Ovis aries: one gene and its partners. The protein of the gene in region 2 purifies or fractionates together with the protein of the main gene of each other region. This does not show direct contact. Links are inferred from orthologs where the notes say so. Each region holds a gene or a part of one and is shown on either strand. Other genes may lie near its edges.

Region 1 (3,337 bases), on a different chromosome or scaffold from region 2:
AACCAGTGGTTCTGTCTAGCCACAGTCCCCAGCCTGCTCTGCCGCGGCCCTGATGATCCTGAGAGCTCCTGGCCCACTCTTCTCACGCGTCAATCACTGCCCACGCTGTGTGTATTACCTCGTTTAGTCTTCATTCCTGCCCCGCTCAATCTAGAGTCTGTTACCCCATTTTACAGTCCTGCAATCTGAGACTGGGCACCTACTCAAGGCCACACAGCTATTAATGGAAGGACAAGGATCTGGACGCAGGCAGTCTGGCACCAAGGCACCTGCTCTAACCACCACACACTCAGCCAGCCTCTGTGAAACCTAAGTGCACCTCAGGACTCCGCTGGCCCCTGGGGCCAGGGGCACTCCCATCGGCTTCCCAGGGAATCCTCCTCACTCGCAAGGACAGGGATGCGGCAAGTCCAGTCAGTCCTCGCCAGACAGAAGCGCAAGGCTGGGGCCCTGAGGTGGTGCCCCCTTCTCCATCTAGTGACTAAGACCAGAGGACCAGCTATTTCTAGACCTTTATTTCTCTGTGAAAAGGGGGGCAAGGGAATAAAATAAAAACAGCACAATTGACACAAAAAACCCACCGAGAGGAAGGGAGGGAGGTGGAGATGGGGGAGGGGTCCCCATACAGCAGCAGGAGCCGGCGACCTGGGATGCTCCCGCCTCACCCCAAAGGGCGGGAGTGGCCCCTTCCTCCCAGGGTCTCTGCTCTGTCCCACCTTGTGCGCCCCCAGCCCCGTGGGGGGGTGGATGTCCCAGGCTGAGGGAGGAACCGTGCCGGGGAAGGGACCTGGGGTCAGACCATGCACAGGGAGTGACAGCCAAAGGCCCCCACTGTCCCCCCAGGGAGGAGCCTGGAGGGGGAGGGCGGACACCGGAGGCTGGCGGTGGCTCCTCTTCCAGCATCAGGCAAGAGACAGAACTGGGGGAACAGGAAGAGACGGGAGTCAGAAGGCAGCCAGCCCGCTGCCCACAGCCGCTCCCAGGCCAAGCATCGCCCTCGCAGACCCCCACCCGCTCCTGCCAGCGTCTCGGATTCCTGACGCCTCACCAGTCAGAGCCTCCTGGGCAAAGTACTTGACGTCCACGTCCTGGTCCTGGGTCAGCTTCTCGAGGACGGGCTTGACCTCACTCTGCAGCGTGCTGGGAAGAGAGGGGAAAGGCGAGGGGTCAGAAAGGTGGGGCTGCTGGGTGTCTGCACAGACGCAGACACACAGGTGCACGAGAGCTCTCAGGGCCAGAGCAACCAGTACTTGGAAGGCTGAAAGTCTCACAAACCAGGACAGAGGCCTCGGGGGCCCAGAATAGGTATAGGGAGGTGAGGTGGTGTGGAAAGGTGGGGCAGAAAACCCAGAACCCTCAAGTCTCTGAGCCTCGGCCACGTGACGCCTTGTATTTGTGTAACATTATATACCGAGGCCTACTGCCCATCAGGTGTGGACACAGTGGAAAACCCAACCCTCCTGACTCTCACCCACACGGAGCCCAGACTGGGAGAAGGCAGATCAAATTGCTGACAAGTAACAGGAGAGGCGAGCACCTGAGGGAGGGACTCGGCCCTACAGGGGCCCAGGGAGGTAAGGGCCGAGGGAAATGCTTCTGCAGCGGCAGTCAGCTGTTTGGGGGACGAAGGCGGTCTTCAGAGAGAAGCTAAGGGGTGAAGCTGTGTCCTGGACAGACAGGTGCAGGCGTCCCAAGGCCCTTCCCCCAAAATAACCACCATTCTCACTTCCATCGCCTGCGTCCCCCTTGATCCATTTTTGAAGTTGATACAAATGCAATCGTGTGTGGAGGAGGGGCAGGCCTCACCTGTTGTCCAGGATGGGCCCGATCTTCTGCAGGGACTTGGCCACGTTGAAGCGGACATTGGCGACAGGGTCCCCGGCCATGCGCAGCACGGTGGGCAACATGTGCTTGGTGGTGATGTCCTGCCCGCAGACCTCGGACAGCACCTGCAGGCCAGGGAGCAGCAGAGGGTGACTCCCCAGAGTCCTCGCTCCCTCTGACCGGGACACTTAGTGGCCATCGGGCTTGGGGATAAAACTAGCTGAGCATCAGGGGGACTCTGAGCTCAGACTCGCCCAGCCTGAGGGCCTTGATTCTCCACAAGTTCCCAGGTTCCCTAACACCCTCTTCACTCCACCATCTCCCTGCCCTGAAAACCCCCAGCCCACACTGTCCCACCCCAGCTCCCTTCCTCAGAGTCTCCCTCATCCTCTGGGGATGGGACTGGATTCCTGACCCTGGGATCCCTTCCTTAGTGCTGTGGTCTCCAGAGTGATGCACAGGAAGGGATTACCGGAACAATTTTATGCTAACTTTTAAATCTCATTCTTTAATTTGTAGTTATGTGGTTTAAGTGGTTTTAAGTTTATTTAAGTGTATGGTTTATTTACGTGACTACATACAAGTACTTTCTACTGTATTTATCTATCAGTACTTTCTACTGTATTTATTTATCACACATTTACATATCACACACACAGCATACATATCACACACACAGCATACATATCACACACACAGCATACATATGCATCACATACACACCATACATTACATACCACACACACACAGCATACATATCACACACACACCATATATACACACAGCATACGTTACGTGTCACACACACACACCCCATACGTTATGTATTACATACACACTATACATATGCATATTACATACACACCATACATTACATATGAACCACTGTTCTAAGCTGTATAACCAGATCAATGTCACAGCCTCGGGAGTCTGGGGCTGTGATTGTTGGTATGAACCCTTTACAGGTGAGAAAACTGAGGCACTAAGTAATTTTCTCAAGGTGCACAGTCAATATGTGGCAGAGCTAGAATTAAACAGTAGGTCTGATTCTAGAAACTGTGCTTTAACCGTTGTATCATAAATATCACTTATTTTGTGAGGAAGGAGGGGGTGCTCAGACAGACCTGGCCATCACTGTTCTGTTGGCCAAATTTCCCCAGTCACCCCCACGCAGGTCCCCACCTGCAAAGGCCCTATACTCTGACCAGGGAGCCCCAAGTTCCAGCCTGCAGTTCCCCAAGGACTAACCCCTACGGCCCCAGATCCCATCACTTTCCTACTCCCAAGCCAGCTTTCCCCCGAGGACCTTCTCCATTCCTCCTCTCCCGTCTACTTCCCCTCCCCCAGGGAGAGGTGGGGGCCGGTGGGCGCTCACATTGATACAGAAGAGTGTGGTCATGCGGTGCAGGTAGTTGGGGTCCCCAGACATGGCCAAGACCTTGGGGATGATAGTTGCGTGGGCCCACTCCTTCCCGAACTTCTCCACCAGCTTCTTCAGGTTGCTGGTGGCCGC
Region 2 (3,500 bases):
CAACAGGGGGAAAAAAAAATCAAACCTGCTTCATAGCCTCTACTCGCTTATTGAGAGCAGTGGTTTGCTCAATCAAAGATTCTGCTGCATCGTCGTGGTCTCTCAACCTTTCAACAAGGGCTTTAGCGTCAGCAAGTGCCTTCTCAATGGTGCAACTCATTTCTAAAGGAATACACAGGGTTAAAAACGAAAAACAGATTCAAAAGAAAGCTGGCATATCAATCTTATTCTAGTTCCACTTTAACACACATTATGCTTAAGCTATATTTGTTACTGAATCGTTCACTGTCTCAGGATGAAAACCATCTAAGAACACATGTGGTTTTGATCCTGTTAAGATGGAACAAACTTGAAAGTGATTTTATAATATTCAAGAAATTATACACAACATATATAAATATATATAATTATATACTACATATATACATATATGTGTTTATATATACACATTATATATATATGTATGTGTGTGTATATATATATATGTATGTATGTATGTATGTATGTATATATATATACACACATAGGGCTTCCCTGGTGGCTCAGAGTTTAAAGCGTCTGCCTCCAGTGCGGGAGACCTGGGTTGGGAAGATCCCCTGGAGAAAGAAATGGCAACCCACTCCAGTATTCTTGCCTGGAGAATCCCATGGACTGAGGAGCCTGGTGGGCTGCAGTCCCCGGAGTCACAAAGAGTCGGACACGACTGAGTGACTTTACTTACTTTACATATATATATATATACATATATACATGTATATATGTATATATATATATATATATATAAGTTTGAGAACAAAATCAGAACGTATTTAAAACACCCTGAATATACAGTGGGGACAAAAGTGTACATTCACTAAATACATTTTATGTTATATAGACTCCTCTATTCATAGGATTCTTCAGGCAAGAATAGTGGAGTGGGTTGCCATTCCCTTCTGCAGGGGACCTTCTCAACCTAGGGATCAAACCCATGTCTCCCGCGGCTCCCACATTGTAGGTGGATTCTTCAGCGCACTGAAGAACTGATGCTTTTGAACTGTGGTGTTAGAGAAGACTCTTGACTTGGACTGCAAGGTGATCAAATCAGTCAATCCTGAATATTCACTGGAAGGACTGATGCTGAAGTTGAAAACTCCAATACTTTGGCCACCTGATGGGAAGAAGTGACTCACTGGAAAAGACCCTGATGCTGGGAAACATTGAAGGCAGGAGAAGGGGACAACAGAGGATGAGATGGTTGGATGGCATCACCGACTCGATGGACGTGAGTTTGAGCAAGCTCCGGGAGTTGGTGATGGACAGAGAAGCCTGGCAGCTGCAGTCCACGGGGTTGCAAAGAGTCGGACAAGACTGAGCAACTGAACTGAATGTTATATAGAAATTGCACTCTTCGTGAGGGCAATCCCTATCTTGCCATTTGTGAAAAAAGGTCATTTTATTATTTTGTATTCTGCAGTCAGTGACTGTCAGGTCTCCGACCATATGACCCCTCCTAGCCTCCGCTTGGTCAGGTGACCTCAGACACCATCCACAAACGTACACTACTAACCAGGCAAAGCGGCCTCTACGTGTCATGCTACACTAAAGGATCAACCTCCTTCTGGAGGAACTTCAGCTTCTCATAGGAAAATTCTCAGTAATTCTAACTCTCGCACTTTCCTTAGTAAATGGCAAAGGAAGTGCTAACTTAGAGCAACACTGGCCATTACGGGAAGCTTCTGATACGTTAAAGTCAGTGACTCAAATGTATAAAAGAGGCTGAAAGGCCAGGAGACAAAACATAACACAGCCAACAGTTAGCTTCTTCAACTGATACGCCGAGACCTCAAAACAAAATTTTTATTTTAAAATCTCTCAAAAACTTTAACATTCTGACACTGATCACTCTTGAATTTTTCTCTTTCTACTGTTTTGCCTTATTTTCTGTTAATATACGAGCCACCCTTTACGATTTTCTCAAAAAATAAAATTACTTTGTAATGTTTCTATGTCATAAGCCAAATCTATAGCAATTAAATTAAAACTCATGTGTAGAACAAAGTTAAGGGCTATAATTAAGGATTTTCACCAAGTTTAGGAAGACAGAATATAGGTCTTTTTAAGATACTACTACATGGGACTCGTTAGGTTAATTGTTAGCCCCTCAGATACAGAAAAATGCAGCAAGAGATTTAAATAACCCAACTGTGTAACATTTTAAAAGAAAGAAAATACAACACATCCCACCATTTTAGCAGGCTTTCATTAAGATTATACCTAGCAAAGATTAAAAATTGCAAATTAAATAAAGATGAAAAAAATTCAAACAGTATTCTTGGTTGTACCCAACAGCTGAAGCAGAGAGTATATTGTCCTGTTTTTATAAACAGGTTCAAAGCTGAATAAAAAGATTTAATCAAAATAAAATAAAACTGCCAATTTATAAAATGTTCCCTATATGACCAGACATTTCCAGAGATCTTTAAGAATTAAGCTGGAAATTAATACAACTTCTGTCTCTCTAGATAAAACAACCAAAATATTTGTCTTCAAAGATTTAGGAGATTTAGATAAGGGCACTTCAAAATACAACAGCAAAAGGGGCCACTAAAGGAACCAATTCTTACTGTAGGTTAAAACACGAAAGGACAGTCATTAAAATCTATCTAAGATGTCCTCCAACAAGGCCTTGCCCTTCTGGAATTACCTAAAATTAGAGCTAGGCAACAGTACAGCTTTCTCCAGTATTCTTGCCTAGAGAATCCCAGGGATGGGGCAGCCTGGTGGGCTGCCGTCTATGGGGTCACACAGAGTCGGACACGACTGAAGTGACTTGGCAGCAGCAGCAGAGCTAGGCAACAGTACAGCTTTCTTATTTATATGGGGGTCACTGTATCTCTATGGAGAATTCACTGTATCTCTATGGGGGGCTTCCCTGGTGGCTCAGAGGATAAAGCGTCTGCCTGCAATGTAGGAGACCCGGGTTCGATCCCTGGGTTGGGAAGATCCCCTGGAGAAGGAAATGGCAACCCACTCCAGTATTCTTGTCAGGAGAATCCCATGGACAGAGAAGCCTGACGGGCTACAGTCCACAGGGTCGCAAACAGTCGGACACGACTGAGCGACTTCACTTTCACTTTACTTTCATCTCTCTCTGAGTGAGTGTTAGTTGCTCAGTTGTGTCTGACTCTTTGTGGCCCCACAGACTGCAGCCCTCCAGGCTCCTCTGCCCATGGGATTCTCCAGGCAAGAATACTGGAGTGGTTAGCCACTTTCTGACCCAGGGACTGAACCTGGGTCTCCTACACTGCAGATTCTTTACCATCTGAGCCACCAGGGAAGCCCCTATATCTCCATATCTCCCATCAATTCCACTAACTATAGAACATCAGATTTTTTTAGAGTAAAATTACATTTAAAAACAGAAAAAAATGTCTTACAGTAAAAATAAATGGTTGCAACAGATGTTGAAAGAAAATAAAAAAGCAAAGTCTAGAGAAAGCTGTGAAAGATTTGAGATG
Region 3 (4,053 bases), on a different chromosome or scaffold from region 2:
GTTACAGCACATCGCTGCCTTCACTGTTCTGACGTTTTCTCACAATGTTTTGTCTTCTGGGTTAGTTCGGCTCTCCCTACCAAGCCCTCTCAGAGCCCCTTGCACTACTCCTTCATGGCACTTATCATAACTCATAATTATACATGCGCCTGTGCGTCTGTTTAGTGTCCATTCTTCTCACCCATGATTTCACAATGCTCAGCACAGTACTTGGCATGGGTGACTGAATGAAGAGCATATACTCAAATAACAACTTGTTGGATAAATGAACACTAAAGCTTCCATGTGTTCCATGCAATGAAATGATCATTCCACATGGTACTAAGGCTTTAGAAGCCTCGTTTCTTTCTGGCTAGTGGGCTATCAGGGAGAAGGCCATGGCACCCCACTCTAGTACTCCTGCCTAGAAAATCCCATGGACAGAGGAGCCTGGAAGGCTGCAGTCCATGGGATCGCTGAGGTCAGACACGACTGAGCGACTTCACTTTCACTTTTCACTTTCATGCATTGGAGAAGGAAATGGCAACCCACTCCAGTGTTCTTGCCTGGAGAATCCCAGGGACGGGGGAGCCTGGGCTTCCGTCTATGGGGTCACACAGAGTCGGACACGACTGAAGTGACTTAGCAAGTGGGCTATCAACAGCTCAGTACAAAATAAGTATTGACACCCTCAGTCTTCCTGCCTTTCTCTCAAATTTCAGCAAGAACTGACAGAGAAGGCAGCAGCTGAACAGAAATGGTTTCCCTCCCACACATAGGAGAGATTATGGCAAAGAATCTTTTTACTGCTGGAAATAAGTGAGTACTGAGAACACACCATCTGGGAAGCCTTGTTCTGGGAAAAGAACAGAGGTGAAGAAAAAGGTAGTCCTCAGCTTAATTACTATCTACTTGGGAAGACAATGACCACCCACAAAATGACATAACATACCCTCAAACATGAGTAACATAAATAACTCTACTTCTTATTCAGAGGCAACAGGCTGCACAGTTTCATAAGTTCCTGAGCTTCAGTTTCTTCATTTATGTAATGAGGATGACAAAAATCTATCTTGAAGGTTTTTTAAGGACTAATTAAAACGATGCCGCACAGTGGGCTCTCGTCAAATACCTGCCTCCCTGTTCTGCAGGCACGCCTCTGGCTCCCAGCCTACTGATTTCAGCTTTGACTCAAAAGAGAGCTGTATCAGTATTTCTAAGAAAATAGATTCTGACAGGTCTCTCAGCTTAAATGTGTTCACTGAATGACCTTCCATGTGTTGAATCTATATAGAAATTAAAGGGTAGAAAGTACATTTAATAGAAACACTTAGGAAAATTGTTAACTACTGAACAACTACGATGCCTCTGATGATGAAACTGGATTCATCCCTACCACTTTTAAAATCCTCCATACTTGAAAAATTATTAAGCAGTCACCACTGATGTGCAATCAGCCCATCATGCAAGGGCTACTAAAAGGTCGGTTTCATTGCTTTTTCAAATAATTCACTTCAAGCTCAAAGTGCATCTGACTGGAACTTGTCAAATTTTGATGTTTGACCAGAGGTTTGTTCTTGCCAACAAAACCAAGAGCTTGAGAGGTACTGATTTCAGGTGTCTAAAGATAGCATCATCACTCAGGTATGACCTGATACATTATATCTGGACAAGAAAAAATGCCCTCTCATTAATAAGCATCTGACTGTTAATCAGCCTCAGGGTTGTCTCAGGTGAAAGAAATTTCCTAGTAAGTGCTCTGGGAACATGCTGATTAAGAAGCCCTAAAACGCTGCTACGTGTGTGTCTTCATTCATGAATTCTACAATGGAATGCAGTGGGAGTAATTCTTCAACTCGGGGTGAGGTGACTAGTCAGCTCCAGACTACGGTGTCTCCGGAATGGGAGGAACAGCCCACTAAACAAGAGAAGAGAGATGTTGAGCCTCAACGCCTGTTTAATTTATTTCTGATCTTTAACAGTTGAGCATCGGGTGGACTGGGCACACCAACCACCGGGCACTGTCTAACCGTGGCCTGAATCTGCAGTGGCTAAGCTCAGAGCAGAACAAGACTGCTCCCCTTTCCAACCATCGCGACCTACAGGCGCGTAGTATTGATACTATTAGTGCTAATTAATTAGCTCAGTCCTTCTCGGAGGTGCCTTCCCAACCCTCGCCAGTCCTTTCCCAGCCCACACATGCCCGCCACCGTGCGCCGCGGAACTCACAGGACCAGAAGCTGGAGATGATTAGGGGGTCTGGGGTGTAGCCGCCCCGCCCTCTAGAGCGCACGCAGGTCACTGACTCTTCACCCGAGAAATGGGGCACGGGGCGGACTTCCCAGGGGCTGGAGCCCGGAGACCGCGCCCACAGCCCGGACCTCAGAAAAGCCAATACGGGCTCCGGGAGGTTCTCCCGGTCGGCAGAGCTCGGGTCGGGGACCCCAGCTTCACGCCTCCGACTCCCGGGGATGTCAGCCTTGCTTCCTGCTCCTTTCGCTGTAAATGACAACTCCCCTGCCGAACCCTCCAGGAAACCCAGCCTGGACCCGAAAGTGGCCCAGAAATGGGGCCGGGGTCCACCGCCGCCGCCCGCCTGGTGCTAGCCTCGCCCCCCGAAGCTCCTGACCTCCGAGTCTTTTCGCTGGTTGCGGTTGAACTCTCGGGCTTTGCCACCAGGCAGGAGACCTCCGGCGGTCCGCGGTGCCCCAGGTGGAGGCTGCGCGGTTGCAGGCGGCGGAGGTGGCGGCGGCTGAGGCTGCTTGTTGTTCATGATCAGCGGGCCGGGAGTGCCGGCTACCGGCTCCATCTTGGCGGCTCCACACCCCCGGCTCAATTCACTGACTATGGCTGTGATGCAACTCTCGCGTGATTTCGTCCCGGAACGCGCCCTGGTCGCCATATTAAGTGTGGCGGCACATGCCAGCGCCATCTTGACTGTCCAACACCTCGCGAGATTTTCTCTGTTTGTGAAATCTTACCCTTCTAGTTTGTGTTTCGGTTCCAGTTTAGAGATCGCAGTTTTATCTGCAAAACCTCCCTTAGCCCCTCAGCCAGTTTAGTGGAACCCCCCTCTTTCCTTTAACATCGCTTTGCTCTTGTTACTTTCACAGATCTGTCCAAAGCTTGCGGGATATTGTAGAGAACAAAATGGACACGATCCCAGCCTTCATGGAGATTACGTTCACGTGGGGGAGACGTGGGAAAGGAATGAGTAAATCAATGAAACAATTACAGTTACGACATTCTTTTAATCATTCATTCAACAAACATTTAATGAATGTCTCTTAGACTAAAGGCAGTGCAAGAGAATGGGGAACAAAATCAAGTTCCTACACTAATGAAAAAAGTGAAATGATCTGTAACATAGAGCCTGTGGGTGAGCCAGACAATGCGCTCACAAATAAGTGCTGAGAAGAAACGAAAGAAACTGTAAGGCATTGGAAGGTGACAGTGATCGAGGTACAGCTGGGCTATGTTAGGTAGGCTGCTTAGGGAAGGAGGGGCTGAGAGTGATTTTGAATGAGTTCTGAAAGAAGTGAGGGAGAGCCATGCCAATATCCATGGAGGTAACATAGAGGGACCAGCTAACTGCAGAGCCTCCTAGGTGGCTTGGCAGGAACTGAGTGAGCCAGGAGAAGAACAGTAGGAGATGAGGGCCGTGTAAATGCAGGGGCCAGATAAATATAGGGCCTAGAAAAGCATAGAAAGTACTCTGGATTTTATTTTAAGTAAAATGGAAAACCATCAGAAAGTGCTGACCTGCTGCTGCTTTTGGAGAAAGCATTGGGGTGTTGCAAGAGTAGGTGAGGGTGGACAGGTTCAGAGACTATATAGATGGAAATGATGGTGTCTTACGCCAGGTTGGAACATTGGGTTGATGTGGTATTTCTGTATTGTGTAGGTAGATTTGCTGAAAGACTGGAATCCTATCAGCAGGATAGGAAGGAATAAAGGATGAGTCCTAAATTTTTGGCTTGAGCAGCTGGGTGGGTGGTTGTATTGCTTATTAAAATAGAGAAGTCAGAGGAAAATAGGTTTGGAGGAAGATCAAGATGTCTGTTTTGGACATGT
Region 4 (4,031 bases), on a different chromosome or scaffold from region 2:
TACAGAGTGAAGTAAGCCAGAAAGAAAAACACCCATACAGTATACTAACGCATATATATGGAATTTAGAAAGATGGAAACGACAACCCTATATGCGAGACAGCAAAAGAGACACAGATGTATAGAACAGTCTTTTGGACTCTGTGGGAGAACGTGGGGGTGGGATGATTTGAGAGAATAGCATTGAAACATGTATATTATCGTATGTGAAACAGATCACCAGTCCAGGTTTGACGCATGAGACAGGGTGCTTCGGGCTGGAGCACTGGGATGACCCAGAGGGATGGGATGGGGAGGGAGGTGGGGGAGGGGGGGCTCAGGATGGGGAACACATGTACACCCATGGCTGACTCATGTCAATGTATGGCAAAACCACTACAATACTGTAAAGTAATTAGCCTCCAATTGAAATAAATAAATAAAAAGATTCTGCTATGAATGACAATATTTGTGAGCCCCATTCACTTCTAAAACGTCTGTTAATCAGCCTCCTTTAAGTTTTCTTTCTCCCTCTATCCACTATCAAGATCTAAAGTTTTTCACCTTCCCTTCTCCCAAGAGAAAAATGAAAACAATCGCTCCTGCTCCTCTCTCAAACGCCCCAAACACAGCCCACCCCAGAACTGGAAAACAGTGAGGCAAAGTGGTACAGGTTGCAACTTGCGACTGGGGGGAGCACAGACTTTGGAACCAGAGCCCGGAGACAGGGAATCAGTCTTCACTTCCTAGAGGATCTGGGCTATTTGTCAAAAGAGAACGTCCCCAAAGCCCCGGGAACTGACTGGTGCTAGGAAACCAGAGAAAGAGCGGGTGACAAGCAGAGAAAGAGGCCCGATCCTCTGGGACTGCCAGAAACACGCAAGGAATGCAAAAGAAACGTCAGGAATCCGGGACCGGCTGCGGCCGGCTAGAGGGACCACTCAGGTTAAAACCCAACTCCGAAGGCAGAAGCGCCTCTGAGACTCTTGAGTGGGAAATGGCGCTGAGTGGATTGGCTGAGCGAGGGAAACCCACTCCTGAAAAGGCAGAAACCGACTCCCTCCCAAATGTCGGAGACGGTGACCCACAATCCGGTCCCGGCCACCAGACACCTCCAGCGAGCCTGGGGGCTGGCCTAGGGGCGGGGCCGAGCTCTTTCTCCGCCTCTAACGGCAGGCCGACTGCGTCCTCAGTACGCCTGCGTAGGGTGAGGCCGGACTCTATTTGGCTAGTAGGCGAGCGGCGGCATCGGCGTTCTCTACCCAGCATGCTGCGCGGGAGCGGCGGCCCTACGTCTATCCCCTTCCCAACCCTGCCCCCGCTTCCCACTCCCGCCGCGGCCCCCCCTTCCCCTAAAGTGAGTGAGTGAGACGGGCAGATGGAGGAGGGACTGTAATGGCGGCGGCCGGCAGCTCCCTGCTCTGACCCACGGCAGGCATACAGCAACGACCCCCTCCCTGCCCCTCTCTCTGCCGGCCTCCGCCCCGCCGCTAGCGCGGGGCCACCCTCTCCGGCCCTTCCCCCAGCCGTCGGCGTCTCGCCCTGCGCCCCGGCCGGGGCCCCACACACAATGGACGAGCTCGCCGGAGGCGGTGGTGGCGGCCCGGCGATGGCGTCCCCTCCACGGCAGCAGCAAGGACCCGGGGGGAACATGAGCCTTTCGCCAGGGGGGAATGGAGCGGCGGGCGGCGGGGGTCCTCCGGCCGCCGAGGGAGCGGGTCCCACGGCAGGCCCCGAGCTGTCCCGGCCGCAGCAGTACACTATCCCAGGGATCCTGCACTACATCCAGCACGAGTGGGCTCGGTTCGAGATGGAGCGGGCGCACTGGGAGGTGGAGCGGGCCGAACTACAGGTACCTCGCTGGGGTCGGTATGCGGGACGGCTGCGGCGGCTGGGTTCCCGGCCGGGGGTGGGGGGGGTGGGGCCGGGACTCCCCTCATTCGGAACTCGAGGCCTTGGGAGACCGAGAGGAACCTACCTGTGCAGCTCGGGGGGCGATAGTCCTGGAGACGGCTCTTCTAGAACCCCCCTCCCCCTTTCCCGCAGAAGCTTGTTACCCAGACCTCACTGGCTGCGCGGTGCGGGCTTCCTTGGGGCAGCCATTTTGGCTTTTAGTATGGCGTCTGCGGGGGCTCCTCCGGAGGCGTTCTGCGCGGGCCTCCGGGGTTTGGGGCCGAGTTCCTCTCTGTGGGAGAATCCGGCGTGGGGCTGTCGGGCACTGCGCTGGCTCCTGTTTCTGCCTCTTAAGATGGAGAACCCGAGGAGAGGGACTGGGTTGGGGATTTTACCACCTTTTCCCGGATCACCCCCCTGTTTCCGATTTGGCGTGACTGCCCCCCTCCCCCGGAGTTGGGAGCCCTTACTCTTTGACAGCCACGCTTCTTTCCAGGGCTGCTGCCGCGCACAATGGCTTGCGGCTGACCTGTGAAGTTTTCATTTCCTACCGCCAACTTTTAAGTACCTTTTTACCTGGGATGCTGCCTTATTCACTTCGATTCCCTTTGAGTTCGTCCTTAGTGACTGACTCATCAACGCTGCTCTGTACCGACTTTTTCTTTTAGAGTACCCTTCACCAGGCCTTCCTCTCCTCCATTCCCATCTTTACACACAAAACGCCAAACCAGACTATCTGTGCCGTCCTCAGGAAACGATTGAGAAAAGATTTAATGTTAGCTTGGAGTAAAACGTATTTGTTTCATGTTACCAGCTCGCACAGGGGCAGCAGAGTTAAATATCCTTAGGAGCCTTCATAATTGAGCCGGACTCGGTCTTAAGGTGAAACTTTTGAGATATTGGTTCACCTAACTTTTGGAAGATGTTGGTAGTTTAAGGGCTTATGTCTTGGATTTCAGAAGAGCTACATCTTTTTAACAGGATTGTTCAACTCTTTCGGATGTTTGTGTTTATTTTAAAATCACTTTCCAAGGCAAATTTAGGCTTAGAAGGAAAAAAGCAGGCATCTAAATAGTGCTGCACCTGTTCTTCAGACTGCTGTATATTTAGAGTGTATGTGGTATTGTTCACTGATATACGTGTCATATATGTCTGGGGTGAATGATTAGGGAAATGTAACGTTGAAAGAAGATTGGATTAGCTTAAAAGGGTTGTCCTGAAACAAATACATATATCTTCAGTTTGATATTGAACCAGTCGACTTTTTGTCTCTACAAAGTGGGGAAAGTCAAAACTTTTTAAAAGTAAGACATATATTTTGACACTTTATCAAAAAAGTGAATTCACTTTATCAAGTTGGCAATTCAGCGTTTTAGTGCTTTGATACACTATTGGGCTTTTAAAAATATATCAAAAGTGTTGTTTCTTTTCTGTGTGCTCTGCTTTAAAATATCTGGGACAAACAATTCTGTTGATGAACAACTTTCTATTAACACCATGTGCAAAAGGCATTTATTTCTGAAAACTGCATTTACAAATGCATTGAAGCCTAGGCTCACTAAATAATACTTCACCAGTCCCTAATACAGCATTTATAACCTTTGTACTGTTGTGGAAAAGCTTTAATTTAAACACTTTCTAAGTTAGTGAAAACATTAGTCATTGGTAAGCTTCACAAAATGTCTTACTTGTGTCTGAATTAGTAAAAATCTGTGCAACTTGAGGTCTACATTGTTTACCTTAGCTTTTGGTTTGCCTTCTAATTCTCCTCTTAACAGAAGTCTTTTAAGGAAAATTCATTTTGCTTGCTTGCTTTCAGTGTATCTACTGTTGGCACATTAGTTCGGATATAGCCATTTTAAACTTTTTGTTTACTTACTTTGAAGAAGTTATACGGTGTTTGTCTAGACTCTTGATTTTTTTCCCCCTAGGAATTTTTATTATGTCACACTGATTCTTTTGGAACAAAATGTTCATGATTGTGTGTTTTTCTTCTTTATATTTCTCTATAATGTTTTATTGGGCTACTTAGTTAATTTGGAATATTGAATTTGTTTTACATGTCCAAAGTCTTTAGTAAGAATGCTTGTGAGATGTCCATTTTAAAATGTATGGAAAATGTATTGGGAGAGTTTACATGAAGCATGAATAGATTTAAAC
Region 5 (4,107 bases), on a different chromosome or scaffold from region 2:
CAGGAACACATGGCTAACTCAAGTTTTCTCACTACTGTGAAGATCTAAAAGTTGCTCCTAACTCTTGCAGAAAAAATTTTTACAAGCTCGTGATATATTCCTGCATCTCATTTTCACTACTTTTAAACAAAAGAATAGTCACAGTAGTCTAGGCATGAGAGTCACGCTGCTAATCATCAAATTTGTTTTTAGGATACCCCACAATTTTAACTGTGGAAAACCTGTTTGTTGCCCCAAATGCTTAAGAACCACATCTACAGAGAGCATGGAAATAAGAAGGTAAGAATTTACCATTTCATTCAGACAGAGACAGTGACAAGTATTCCTCTCTTCTTGGCAAATGTTGAGATGATTGCCCTTCCCAAAGCCATCACAACTTTGGGTAGGAATAAAATGAAAGGCAGAATTTATCATTTAAAATATGAGACTCACATTCTAACCCACCTTAATGAAGATTTTTAAAAATTAAAAAATTCAAAAGATAGGGAAATCAGATAATGAAACAAAGCAAGGAGCCATAAGAAATACTGAACAGTAAGGAGTTCCTAAACCATGTAAATCAAATAAAGCCAAATCAAATAAGGACCAGAAACCATATAAATCAAATAAAGTCAAGACAAATGAAATAAAGACCAGAAACCATTTTCTCCTCAGCACGCAGGGTTCCCCAGAATCAAACTTGATCGGGAGGTGCTCACTCTGCTGACGCACGCACGCAGGCAGCGCGTGCACACAATGGAGCGAGGAGTACTGAGACACTCAGAGACAAACTTCACATGCGGACTCTTCTACTCCCCAAAGGAAAGGAGAGCACGGTGGGAAAGTTTCCCCACTTTCTTCCACATCAGACAGAGCAAAACTGTAGTTGATAAGGCAAACTACTAATTCTCTCGACATAATCAAAGGCAGAACTGAATGAATGGGGTGAGGGGCAGTGGCTGGGGGGAAGGAGGGAGGGAAGGAGAGGGTGGCGTGAGAAGAAGGAAGTTTGAGGCATTTTGTAAAGCTTGAATGGATTAACCTTTTAAAAGGCCCTAATGTCTCGCATTTCCCTTTTGCTTCCTTTTCTTTTTTTTTTTTTTTTTTAATGAACTACATCGATTTCCTGGGACTCAACCCAGACTTATCCTATATTTAGCTGAAAGGCCTGGTGCCTAGGACACACAGGAGTCCTAAGTTAGATATATGTCCGATACAAACAGTCCTTTGGGGGGAAAGCACTTTAAAAATCACTTTTTTCGTGTGATCATGCATCAAATATGACCAACTGTTATTTTTTTTAAGATGAATTCCATGCATTATTTAGTAAATTAAGGCCCCAATCCATGGCGCTTTGATTTCTACTAGCAACATAGCTATTTACCAAACATTTTTTTCTGAACTTAGAAAACGTTTGCTTTCACATTTTTAGAAGATAATGAGGCTTAAGTGCTTCTAGTCTTTTACCTATTCATAAGTGGGGGTGTTTAGGCTGTCTAGCAAAGGAAAAAAAATAAAACGTGAATGCTTAAAAGCTACTCAACTTGGATAACATTTAGTAGATAGCTTGAAATGCACCGATTCAAAAACCTAACAATGCAGAAAGTTTGTGGACATAGCTTGTTTCTTCTTTAATAAAATGAAAATGTAAGGGGGGAGGGCTGGTAAGATGTAAAAGATAAAAAGTTAGGTCCCAGGCCGTAATATCTTGTCGTCCAGGACAAAAAGCTTTGCAACAACCACACTGCCACAGCCCTCCGGTGGGAAAGGCTGGGGGCGGGGGCGGGGGCGGGGGCGGGGGCGGGGGCGGGGGCGGGAGAGTCATCACCACCGCTGCTCTAACTTAGGACCCTGCGTTTCTCACACCCCACTACGGGCTGCGCCCGGTGGGGGGAGCGAGACACAACTTGGCCCCAAAGCAGCAGCCCCAAAAGGGGAAAAAAGTCACCTCGCTCTTTGCTCTACGCACACAGGAAGAGCCCAATTCAAAGCCGCCACCACCGACACCCCCTTGCCTTGCTCCGCCCCAACTTGTGTGTGTGTGTAAGCACCACTTGCGTTTTACCCAACGAATTCCGAGACACCTCCATCTCTTCCAAGTGAAGTGCTTCCATTCCCACCCCCACAAGCGCACCAGCTCAGCCGGCGCAGGTGTCCCGCCCCTGCCTGTTTTAACACCCCCCCCGCAGCCCCCGGCATCCCCAAAGAGCCGCGCGCCCCAGTCCCTCCGCGCCCGGCCGGCACACTGCACCGCCTAGCTTACACGCCGGGAAACACCGAGAGCTCTCCGTCCGGGTCACCTGGCCGGAGCGCCCGGCCCGGCTTCGGTCGGGGAAGCCCCGGGCCGCCTCTCGTCGCCGGCGCCCAGCGCGGAGCGCGCCCCGAGCTCCCGGGCAGTCACGTGGACGGCGGGGGCGGCCCGGGCGTCCTCACCTGCATCCCGGGCACTTGGACCGCCACCGGTGAGTGGGCCATGAAGGCGAAAGCGGCTCCGCGCGGCTTCGGCGGCGGCGGCGCCTCGGGCTGCGACTGGCTCCTCCTCCGGGGGTAGGTCGGCGGCCCTCTCAGGCTTTTCGACCCGGGCCTGGAAGGACACACACGAGTTGGGTGACAGGGCGGGGGGCGCGCGCGGCCCGGGGCCGGGAGGTGGGCGGTCCGCCGCGAGGCTCCCCGGGACTCAGTCTACCTTTCTGGCGCCCGCCCGCCGCTCTGGCCGCCGCCTCCGCTGCCGCTGCTGTTGCTCCTGAGCGCCCGACGCCGTGTGTGGCAGTGGCCGGGACCTGGGCTCCAGTGATGCCGCTCGTCTGCGCCTCGCCGCTTTAGGAAGAGGAGGTGGAGGCGCCCCAGCCACCCGCCCGCTCGCCGGGCCCGGGAGGCGGTTGGGGGCGGTTCCGCCGCTGGCCCTGCCCCCGCCCCGCCGCCGGGCGGTGTCAGGAGAGCTAGGACTGCGCTGGGAAGGGGCTCGGCTGGGGCTCCTGGAGCCCGACAAGAGGGAGGCTCTCCTGGCCCACGGAGAGGAGAGCTCGGGGACTGGAGGGCGTGGAGCACGGCTCGGCCTGGAGAGAGAAGGGAAGAGTTCGGGTGACCCGCGGGGTCCGAGGGCGTCCCGGGCGCGGCCACGTTGCAGGCAGGCTTGCGAGGGCACGGGCGGCGCAGCCTCGGAGAAGTGTTGAGTTGAAACTTGGCGGGCGTCGGAATTCCTTCTCGAGTCCTCGACGTGGTCGAGGGCGGGGGCGCAGAGAGCCGCCGAGTCCGAGTCAGCGGACCCCTGCTCTCCCCCGCGTGTCCCCAGCTGGGGCCGCGCCGCTGGGCGGGGTCCGTGGCCGCTCTCCTCTTTCCGGATTCCCCGCCCCCCGTCAGGCTTCAGGTGCCTTAGAACTGGGGTTACCCCTACCTCTTGGGCTACCAGTTGGGCGGTTGTGGGGGAGGGCGATCAGACTGGGGCTTCTCCGCATCACAAGCACGTGTAAGAGAGACGGAAGTTGGAAAACAGATGGCACCTAGGCAGAAAAATGAATGAGGAAATAGAGGCCTGGGAAATGAGATTGGGTCATTCGCAGGACGTATTATTGAATTCAGCATACAGAGCAGTGGTTTCGGCAAGTCCCTGCCTCCACCCCATTTGAAGTTCCACTCCAGCAGGGAGGTAGACTCTTCGGAGAGTAACCTAACAGTAACGAGATTAAAAATAATAATAATAGCAATTGCAGTCATCTCATTAGGAAGGCACCTTTGGGAAACCACAAGTGCCAGTTTAAAATGAGGATGGAGTTCCCTGACTTGCAGGTTATTGTAGGGCTGTACCCACCATGGTGTTGGGGCTCTGGCAGACGAGAAATGTTTCTCTTGTTCCTTTTGAATCTGTCTCAAAAGATAGCATGTCATTGTTATCAATATATTTAGCTATCGTTAATGAGTTCCATTTTCTGTCAGGGACCGCTAAGTGCTATGTGTGTGTGTGCGTGTGTGTGTGTGTGTGTGTGTGTGTCTTGCCTTACTGAATCTTCACAAGGGCCCTCTGAGGTCATATTACCTTTCTTCCATTTTACTGAAATGCAAAAAAAGGCTCAGTGAGCTTGAATAATTTGACCCAAATATCACATAATTAAGAAGTGGGAGGGCTGGGAA
Region 6 (3,500 bases), about 100 Mb from region 2:
TTCTCTGTTAAAGACACCTGATCTACATGAAGATTCACTTGGTTTTAGCAATATCCAGTTGAGCTGTCTGATGAACGTCTAGGTGTGACAGCTGGAATGTCACTGATTGTTTTCAAATTGGGCAGGAGATATTCTCTGTCAGTAGTAAAACTTCTGTCCTCTCCTCCATTTGACGTTCATTTCTACTCTTTAATAAAAAGAGGTATCTATCACTGTAGAAGGGCCCTTGCTGGTAGATGCTGGGTTCTGGACCACGTAATCCAAGGAAGAAAGAGAAAGTACCAAGTGGGATCAGGACTAGCTTGGTGACTGATAAAAGGGGTTTATACCAACTCATGTCTGTCCGTGCTTACAGAGGAACCAAGGGGCCAAGGGAAGTTTAGCAGATAAGTGAGAGCAGCAACAGTACCCCTTCAGTCTAGACATTTTGGTCAAGATCAAAAGAAAGGATCAAAGAGAGGTCTCTTGCCCCCACCGGCTCCAGCATAAGGCCAAACCTAGTAAACAATGGGGAAGGATTGGGGTTGGGGTTTGACGGTTTTAAACATGACTATGCCTGCTTACAACAACAGAAACCTCCAGCGCAGACAAAGGGTTCTCAAAATTTAAGTTATTTAAAACACCAAATAAAGATTATAATCAGCATTCACAAACCATTTCTCCCTAAGGGTCAGTTTTTCAACCTAAATTAGCTTATGAGTATGAAGGCAAAAACATCCTAAATTACATAACATGGTAAGGAAAAAAATTAGAAGAGATATTTGAGGAATTTAACAGCAAATAATAAAGTAAGGCTTTCTCTGCTGAAAAATATTAATTAAATTATTCAAATACAGTTAAAGTAGAATATTCTCACTTTTTGGCTGGGGCTGTTTTCTGCAAATTCCACATTTTTAACGTGTGATCCTCTGATGCTGTTATCAAAACAGGCTCAGTGGGGTGGAAAGCGAGAGCTCTAATACCATCAAAGTGACTTCTTAATGTAAACTTGGGGTTCCATGTCTTCCTCAATGCATCTTTATTATTTGCTATCTATTAAAGAAAAAAAAGATACCAATATACTTAGTTCAGAATGAGGGAAAAAACTGTATTTCAGCATTAATTCTTACTGTTTCATCATTAAACTACCATTATTTTGCAACTTTCAAAATAATGTAATTTTTAAGCAGATAACCAAATCAATAGGCAAAATTAGCAATATGTCAACAATGGTTTTCTTTGAAGAAATATGAATGCTATAATAAGAAAATACATAATTCAGTATAGAAGGAGGATCAAATAACTTAGTAACAAAAAACAAAATTTCACTAGGATGCTTTTTAAAAAGACAAGTGATTTAAACCTGAATTATAGAATATAAAGCAATTCTGGTTAAGAGTTGAAAAACTAAATTATCTTTAAGCATGTTAACATTACAGAATATGATGATACTTTCAAAGTTTTCAGTGGTTTCAGACAAGAGCTAAATTTTCTTCAAATTGGTAATGAAGTTTATATACTGACAACAAAATGTTAAAATTGGAAAAGACAATCAGATATTACGAACATAATTATATATTTACTATGTTCCTTTTCTCCACAGAGGGCTTCCCTGGTAGCTCAGATGGTACAGAATCTGCCTGCAACACGGGAGATCTGGGTTCGATCCCTGGGTTGGGAAGATTCCCTGGAGAAGGGAACAGCAACTTACTCCAGTATTCTTGCCTGGAAAATCCCCATGGACAGAGGAGCCTGGTAGATTACAGTCCATGGGGTCACAAACAGTCGGACTCAACTGAGTGACTTTCACTTTCTCCACAGAATCTCAATCTCAATAACTGAAAAAATAATGCACTGTTTTTTCATTCCAACTAATAGAAAAGCTAAAGAGGATAGTGTTTGACTTTACACAAGCACCATGGATGAACTTCACACTCCAAGGCTAACAATCATGGTAGATTTAAGCAAGTATTTGTAATATATTAGAGAAATGTTACCATACTCACAGTTACAAAAATTATCAATGATACAACAACTGATATTCTATACAGCATTCATTATTTTCTACATTATTCAAAAGACTTAAAAAGCATTAACTCACTTAATCCTCACAACTCTATGATGTTGGAATTAACAGTATCCTCACTTTACAGACTAGCCATTTTAGGGAAAGAGAAGTTAAGTGACTTGCCATCTAGTAAATGGAGGAGTCAGGATTCAAAATCAAGCAATCTGGTTTCAGAGGCTATACTATTAAACTGTAATTTAGAACCCAGACATTTAAAAATCTGCAGAGAAATCTGGACAGGACATGTCACAACTGGGGCAATTCATGCGTGCTAAGTTGTTCCAGTTGTGTCTGACTATTTGCGACCCAATGAACCATAGCCCACTAGGTTCTCTGTCCATGGGGCTCTCCAGGCAAGAATACTTGAGTGGGTTGCCATGCCCTCCTCCAGGGGATCTTCCGGACTCAGGGATCAAACCCAGGTCTCTTTTGTCTCCTGCACCGGCAGGCAGGTTCTTTACCATTAGCGCCACCTGGGAAGCAATGAGTGAAAACAAAACACATTATGCAAGGAACTACTCTAAGAATGGGGCCGATTATTTTGAGGGCAGGCAGGGCTGGCAGGAAGGTTAGGACGACAAGGGCAACCGAGCTGACCTCTTTTATTCTTATAAAAGAGCTAAAAGGTTTTCATGTGGAAGAGTACTTAAATTCCTTTGATTATCTTGATGTGGTAGGCAGCCACTAAGTTCCCAGTCAGCCCCACCTATTTTTACCTTTGGGTAGTCCCCCTCCCTGATGGCTCCGATGGTAAAGAACCTCCCTGGAATGTGGGAGACGCAGGTTCATTCCCTGGAGAAGGAAACGGCTACCCACTCCAGTATACTTGCCCAGAGCATCCCATGGACAGAGAAGCCTGGCAGGCTATAGTCCATGGGGTCATAAAGGGTTGGATACAACTGAGCAACTAACACTTTCACGCTTCCACATTATAGGCATGCTCTGTGATCAACAGCATACAGCAGAAGTTGGAATAAACTACTTCCAAAATTAGGTTATAAAACCTTTCATCTCGAGTGTTTCTGCTCCCTATCTTTTTAGGTGCACTCACATTGGGAAAAGCCAGCTGCTCTGTTGAGGAGCCCACAGAGAGGTCCATGCGGTGAGGAACTGGTTCCCAGACAACAGTCAGCAAGAAACCAAGGCCTTCAAACAACTACATGAGTGAGCCTGGAAGCAATTTTCCCCAAGTCAAGTCTAGGTAAGACTGCAGCCCTTGTCAATGTCTTGATTACAACCATACAAACAGCCAGTCACATAATTAAGCTGTCCCCAGACTGCTGACCCATGGAAGCTGTGAGATATCAACGTTTGTTCTTCTAAGCTGTTAAATGTGGTACAAGTTGTTATGCAGCAATAGATTGCTAATATGCTTAATAAAACTAGGAACTACTTTTAGAAACTGAGACAGACTAACACTAAGTTTTCTAACAATTAAGTTATGAAAAAAGGA
Region 7 (3,500 bases), on a different chromosome or scaffold from region 2:
CTTTTCCCTGTTTCTCTAAGGGGAAGGATGTCCGTGGGTGGGCTGGACTGGGGCGGGGACCTTGCCCCCTTCTGTGCTCATTCCCTTCTGCCCTTGCTGTAGCTGAGCCCAGCGCCATGCCAGGTGATTGACGCTTCAGTGAGCCAGTGCGGCGCTGGGCTTCAGGGGCTCTGATTGTGAGCTGGTTCACGGGGCCGAGAGGGTGTCGGGCTGCACAGATGCGGGCTTCTCAGCCCTTCAGAGACAAGCTGGGAGGAGAGGAGAGACATTTGTGCTGGAATGTTGATCGACTTCCCTGCTAGCAACCCCTGTGGAAGCTGAGCGGCCAGCACTGGTGTTCTCCTTGTAAACAACTTTCCCCTTTTTTGGTCTCAAAAGCAGCACTTAGTCTTTAATCTGGAAAATACTGGAAAAAATGAGCGAAGGGGAAAACATCTGTAGGCCTAATACCCAAGCACAAGCTAAGTTATTTTGGTGTCCAGTCGCGTCCGAAATAACTGTTTGCAGTCACCATGGTGAAGGATGAAAACAGGTGATGTGTTGATGGAAAAATAAAGATGAGTGGAGACACGGTAGGACCGGCCCATCTGTTGGAATGTGTACAGCCAGCTGGTCCACTGGGTACGTGACCAACCCTCCCGTCCCGATGGCAGCCCATGGCCTCCCCGGCTCAATCCTCAGGGCCAGGAGTTCCCACCTCCTGGCTGGGAGGGATGCACTTTGCACACAGGGGAAGGATGTGAGCGGAGAAAGAATCCAGCTTTGTCCAAGCGTGAGGTAATGGTGGGGCCATGTATTGCTACGGAGTCGGTCTCAGACGGTTTCAATACCTCTCGTGCGACTTAATGTGTTTCTGAATATTGCATCTTATTGAATAGTTTCTATTAAATCCATTTTGGGCTGTGTTTTAACTAGTTATAACTGTTATTTGGGATTCTCCATTTTTTTTTTTTTCTCCTGTCTTCCTTTTTTTTTTTTTCTGGCTGCCCCGCACACTGTGTGGTATCTTAGTTCCCTGACCAGGGATCGAACCCATACTCCCTGCAAGGGACCCATGGATTAACCACTGGAAGTCCCCCTCTGTGGTTCTTCATAGAATATTTTCTATACATAAATTTTTTTAATACATAAAAAAAAAGTTGTATTTCGTCTGCAGAGGTGTAGCCAGGTGACTTTTGCTTAACTAAGTGTTACTGCGAGGATTTTGAGAGCTGCTGTTGGTGCCCCTCTTGGGTCCCCTCACCCCCACTGCTCATCAATAACGGATAATTCTTCGTTGTCACTTTTAGGAGAATGCTCCCCAGGACTAACCACATACGGAAAGAAAATCTGTTCACAAGTAAATATCTGCAGTTCAGCTGTGATTTTTTTTTTACTTAGTCTCATTTTTGAAAACCACTGTTGGTTTCCCTTAACAGCTGATTTCCCAAACGATGGTAAAACAGGTCTCCTCTTATACCTCAATTTTAGTTGCTTGAAAAATGATTGCCCTCTCCCATATAATTCTTATTTTAAAATTCAGACACATTTTAAAATCTGATGTTGTAAATCCTAGATACCGTAATAGACAAACTCAGTTGATTCTCTATCAGCATCAGTGTTGAATATTTGATACTTCAGTCAAGTTAATGTGTCATAGCAATATAGTCATTCTTCTAAGGTTTTAGCATAAGTAATGCTGTTTTTGAATATTTTAGGCATCCCTTACCATTTTCTAAATATAAAATTTATTTAGGATCGATTCCTAGACGTGAAATTAGTTGGCTTTAACAAGTGTGGGTATTTTTGTGACTTTGACTGCATAATGCCAGATTGCTTGCCATTTATTCAAGTGCCAGTCAGGGTTTCCAAGTTAGTCAGCAGGATGTTAGATATATGCAGGCGGAGCCTGCAGTCAGGAAGACCACTCTGGAGCCCCTCATGGAGCCCTAGGGACAGAAGACATTTCTGAACTAAGCCGGAGGCAGGAGGGGTAGATGGGGACTCAGGGCGCCAAGAGGTCAAGAGCCACACACCTGGCAGCTGGTTGATATAGGAGGACCAAAGAGAAGTTCCAAGGGTTGGGCCCAGGCTCCTGGCCTGGCCGCCTGGGAACAGGGATCTCATTTCATCCTGTTGTGGCTTAAGGGCTGGCTTCTAAGCATCTCTGGACGTGGTGGCTGCAAACGTGCTGTGGTCCCCAGACATGCCGTCTCCACTGACCTCAGGTTGCCTGTCCTGTTGACTCAGGGACTTAAACAAACGTGGAACGTCTCCCACCTCTGGCAGCAAAGGGAAGAGGTGTAATCATCAGAGCCAGCTTCCACGTCGAGGCAGAAGATGATATTATTACATGTCCTCCTGTGTGTTGCCTTTTTTGAAGTTACACCAAAGGCTTTATCTTTAACAAATTTTTTTCAGTTAAGAATGAGTATCTTATTCAAGACCTCAGAAGCACATTAGTTTTTGGTTTTGTTTTTTACCTTCTAGGAAGTACGTTTCTTTGAACCGCCTCCCCTCCGAATGTGTAACTAACTAGCTGTGTTTCGCTGTTGCAGGCGGACATCTGGTCCCTGGGCATCACGGCCATCGAGCTTGCCAAGGGGGAGCCGCCGCATTCCGAGCTGCATCCCATGAAGGTCCTATTCCTTATCCCAAAGAACAACCCCCCGACGCTGGAAGGGAACTACAGCAAACCCCTCAAGGAGTTCGTGGAGGCCTGTTTGAACAAGGAGCCGAGCTTTGTGAGTGTCTTGACCTGGGAACGGGCATCTCCCCCCATGGGGGCCTGATGGGTCTGGATGCGTCTTAGTGGTCTGTTTTCCTTCTCTGCTTTCAGCTGTCTTCATGATCTCATTTCTTTTTCTAAATGGGTATGATTGATTTTTTTCTGAAGTGGAAATGCTTATTGTTATTTTATCTTTTTAAGGCTTCAAAGTCTACTTACCGTCTTTCAGATTTTCTGGTATCTCCTACCGCATTGAGCTTTGAAGACTGTTCTCCTTAATATTCTATGTGGGATCATACATTTTTAATATTTATAGTGGAAGGTTGGGCTATTTTTAGCTGTTGGCGTATCTGCAAAGTCCGGCCTGAGAAACAGTGGCTAAGTAAGTCTTTAAAGTAAACGTTTTCGGTTTCTTCTTGGCATGTGTTAGGAAGGGAAAGAGGAATGAGATGTAAACGTAGTCCCGCCTTGCTTTCCCCTCTTCCTTCTGACTGTCTCTGCTTTTGAGTTGAATCTGGCAGAGCCATGTGGCAGAGATGACTGCATGGCTTCAGCCTCATTTTCTCTCTGAATTAGGATATTTCTTGCAAAGTTGTCTGTGTATTTTGGTGTTGCATGTCACACCGTATGTCCTTGTTGGGTTTCTGAATTTTCCAGCAGGGTTAGCCACAGGTCAGGCTGAAACTTCTAAACTCATATCCCCACCCCCACCCCCCCATTCCCTACAAAGAACTCTTATCTAAAAATATGCTTTTGTTGTTCAGCTACTCAGTCGTGTCCAATTGTTTGTGAC

The links.
Region 1: the proteins of FGFR1OP2 (region 2) and PPP2R1A purify together in Homo sapiens (affinity purification with mass spectrometry; 5 studies listed by BioGRID and IntAct, with this or other methods). This does not show direct contact. The link is inferred for Ovis aries from reciprocal best matches to the Homo sapiens genes FGFR1OP2 and PPP2R1A.
Region 3: the proteins of FGFR1OP2 (region 2) and STRIP1 purify together in Homo sapiens (affinity purification with mass spectrometry; 3 studies listed by BioGRID and IntAct, with this or other methods). This does not show direct contact. The link is inferred for Ovis aries from reciprocal best matches to the Homo sapiens genes FGFR1OP2 and STRIP1.
Region 4: the proteins of FGFR1OP2 (region 2) and STRN3 purify together in Homo sapiens (affinity purification with mass spectrometry; 5 studies listed by BioGRID and IntAct, with this or other methods). This does not show direct contact. The link is inferred for Ovis aries from reciprocal best matches to the Homo sapiens genes FGFR1OP2 and STRN3.
Region 5: the proteins of FGFR1OP2 (region 2) and STK26 purify together in Homo sapiens (affinity purification with mass spectrometry; 4 studies listed by BioGRID and IntAct, with this or other methods). This does not show direct contact. The link is inferred for Ovis aries from reciprocal best matches to the Homo sapiens genes FGFR1OP2 and STK26.
Region 6: the proteins of FGFR1OP2 (region 2) and STRN purify together in Homo sapiens (affinity purification with mass spectrometry; 4 studies listed by BioGRID and IntAct, with this or other methods). This does not show direct contact. The link is inferred for Ovis aries from reciprocal best matches to the Homo sapiens genes FGFR1OP2 and STRN.
Region 7: the proteins of FGFR1OP2 (region 2) and STK24 purify together in Homo sapiens (affinity purification with mass spectrometry; 4 studies listed by BioGRID and IntAct, with this or other methods). This does not show direct contact. The link is inferred for Ovis aries from reciprocal best matches to the Homo sapiens genes FGFR1OP2 and STK24.

What each region holds. Positions count from the first base shown.
Region 1 is NC_056067.1:58,174,942-58,178,278, reverse strand, and holds the end of PPP2R1A (serine/threonine-protein phosphatase 2A 65 kDa regulatory subunit A alpha isoform), read right to left. Parts: coding exon 3,200-3,337; intron 1,950-3,199; coding exon 1,807-1,949; intron 1,141-1,806; coding exon 1,049-1,140; intron 920-1,048; coding exon 903-919; 3' UTR 501-902; downstream 1-500. UniProt on the Homo sapiens protein: The PR65 subunit of protein phosphatase 2A serves as a scaffolding molecule to coordinate the assembly of the catalytic subunit and a variable regulatory B subunit.
Region 2 is NC_056056.1:188,458,376-188,461,875, forward strand, and holds part of FGFR1OP2 (FGFR1 oncogene partner 2), read right to left. Parts: intron 163-3,500; 5' UTR 161-162; coding exon 26-160; intron 1-25. UniProt on the Homo sapiens protein: May be involved in wound healing pathway.
Region 3 is NC_056054.1:87,345,645-87,349,697, reverse strand, and holds the start of STRIP1 (striatin-interacting protein 1), read right to left. Parts: upstream 2,801-4,053; 5' UTR 2,789-2,800; coding exon 2,609-2,788; intron 1-2,608. UniProt on the Homo sapiens protein: Plays a role in the regulation of cell morphology and cytoskeletal organization. Required in the cortical actin filament dynamics and cell shape. Part of the striatin-interacting phosphatase and kinase (STRIPAK) complexes.
Region 4 is NC_056071.1:39,429,698-39,433,728, reverse strand, and holds the start of STRN3 (striatin-3), read left to right. Parts: upstream 1-1,231; 5' UTR 1,232-1,548; coding exon 1,549-1,830; intron 1,831-1,956; exon of another isoform or gene 1,957-2,091; intron 2,092-4,031. UniProt on the Homo sapiens protein: Calmodulin-binding scaffolding protein which is the center of the striatin-interacting phosphatase and kinase (STRIPAK) complexes.
Region 5 is NC_056080.1:102,852,749-102,856,855, forward strand, and holds the start of STK26 (serine/threonine-protein kinase 26), read right to left. Parts: upstream 2,801-4,107; 5' UTR 2,666-2,800; intron 2,564-2,665; 5' UTR 2,455-2,563; coding exon 2,413-2,454; intron 1-2,412. UniProt on the Homo sapiens protein: Serine/threonine-protein kinase that acts as a mediator of cell growth. Modulates apoptosis. In association with STK24 negatively regulates Golgi reorientation in polarized cell migration upon RHO activation.
Region 6 is NC_056056.1:87,162,962-87,166,461, reverse strand, and holds part of STRN (striatin), read right to left. Parts: intron 1,033-3,500; coding exon 857-1,032; intron 1-856. UniProt on the Homo sapiens protein: Calmodulin-binding scaffolding protein which is the center of the striatin-interacting phosphatase and kinase (STRIPAK) complexes.
Region 7 is NC_056063.1:74,810,233-74,813,732, reverse strand, and holds part of STK24 (serine/threonine-protein kinase 24), read left to right. Parts: intron 1-2,537; coding exon 2,538-2,723; intron 2,724-3,500. UniProt on the Homo sapiens protein: Serine/threonine-protein kinase that acts on both serine and threonine residues and promotes apoptosis in response to stress stimuli and caspase activation.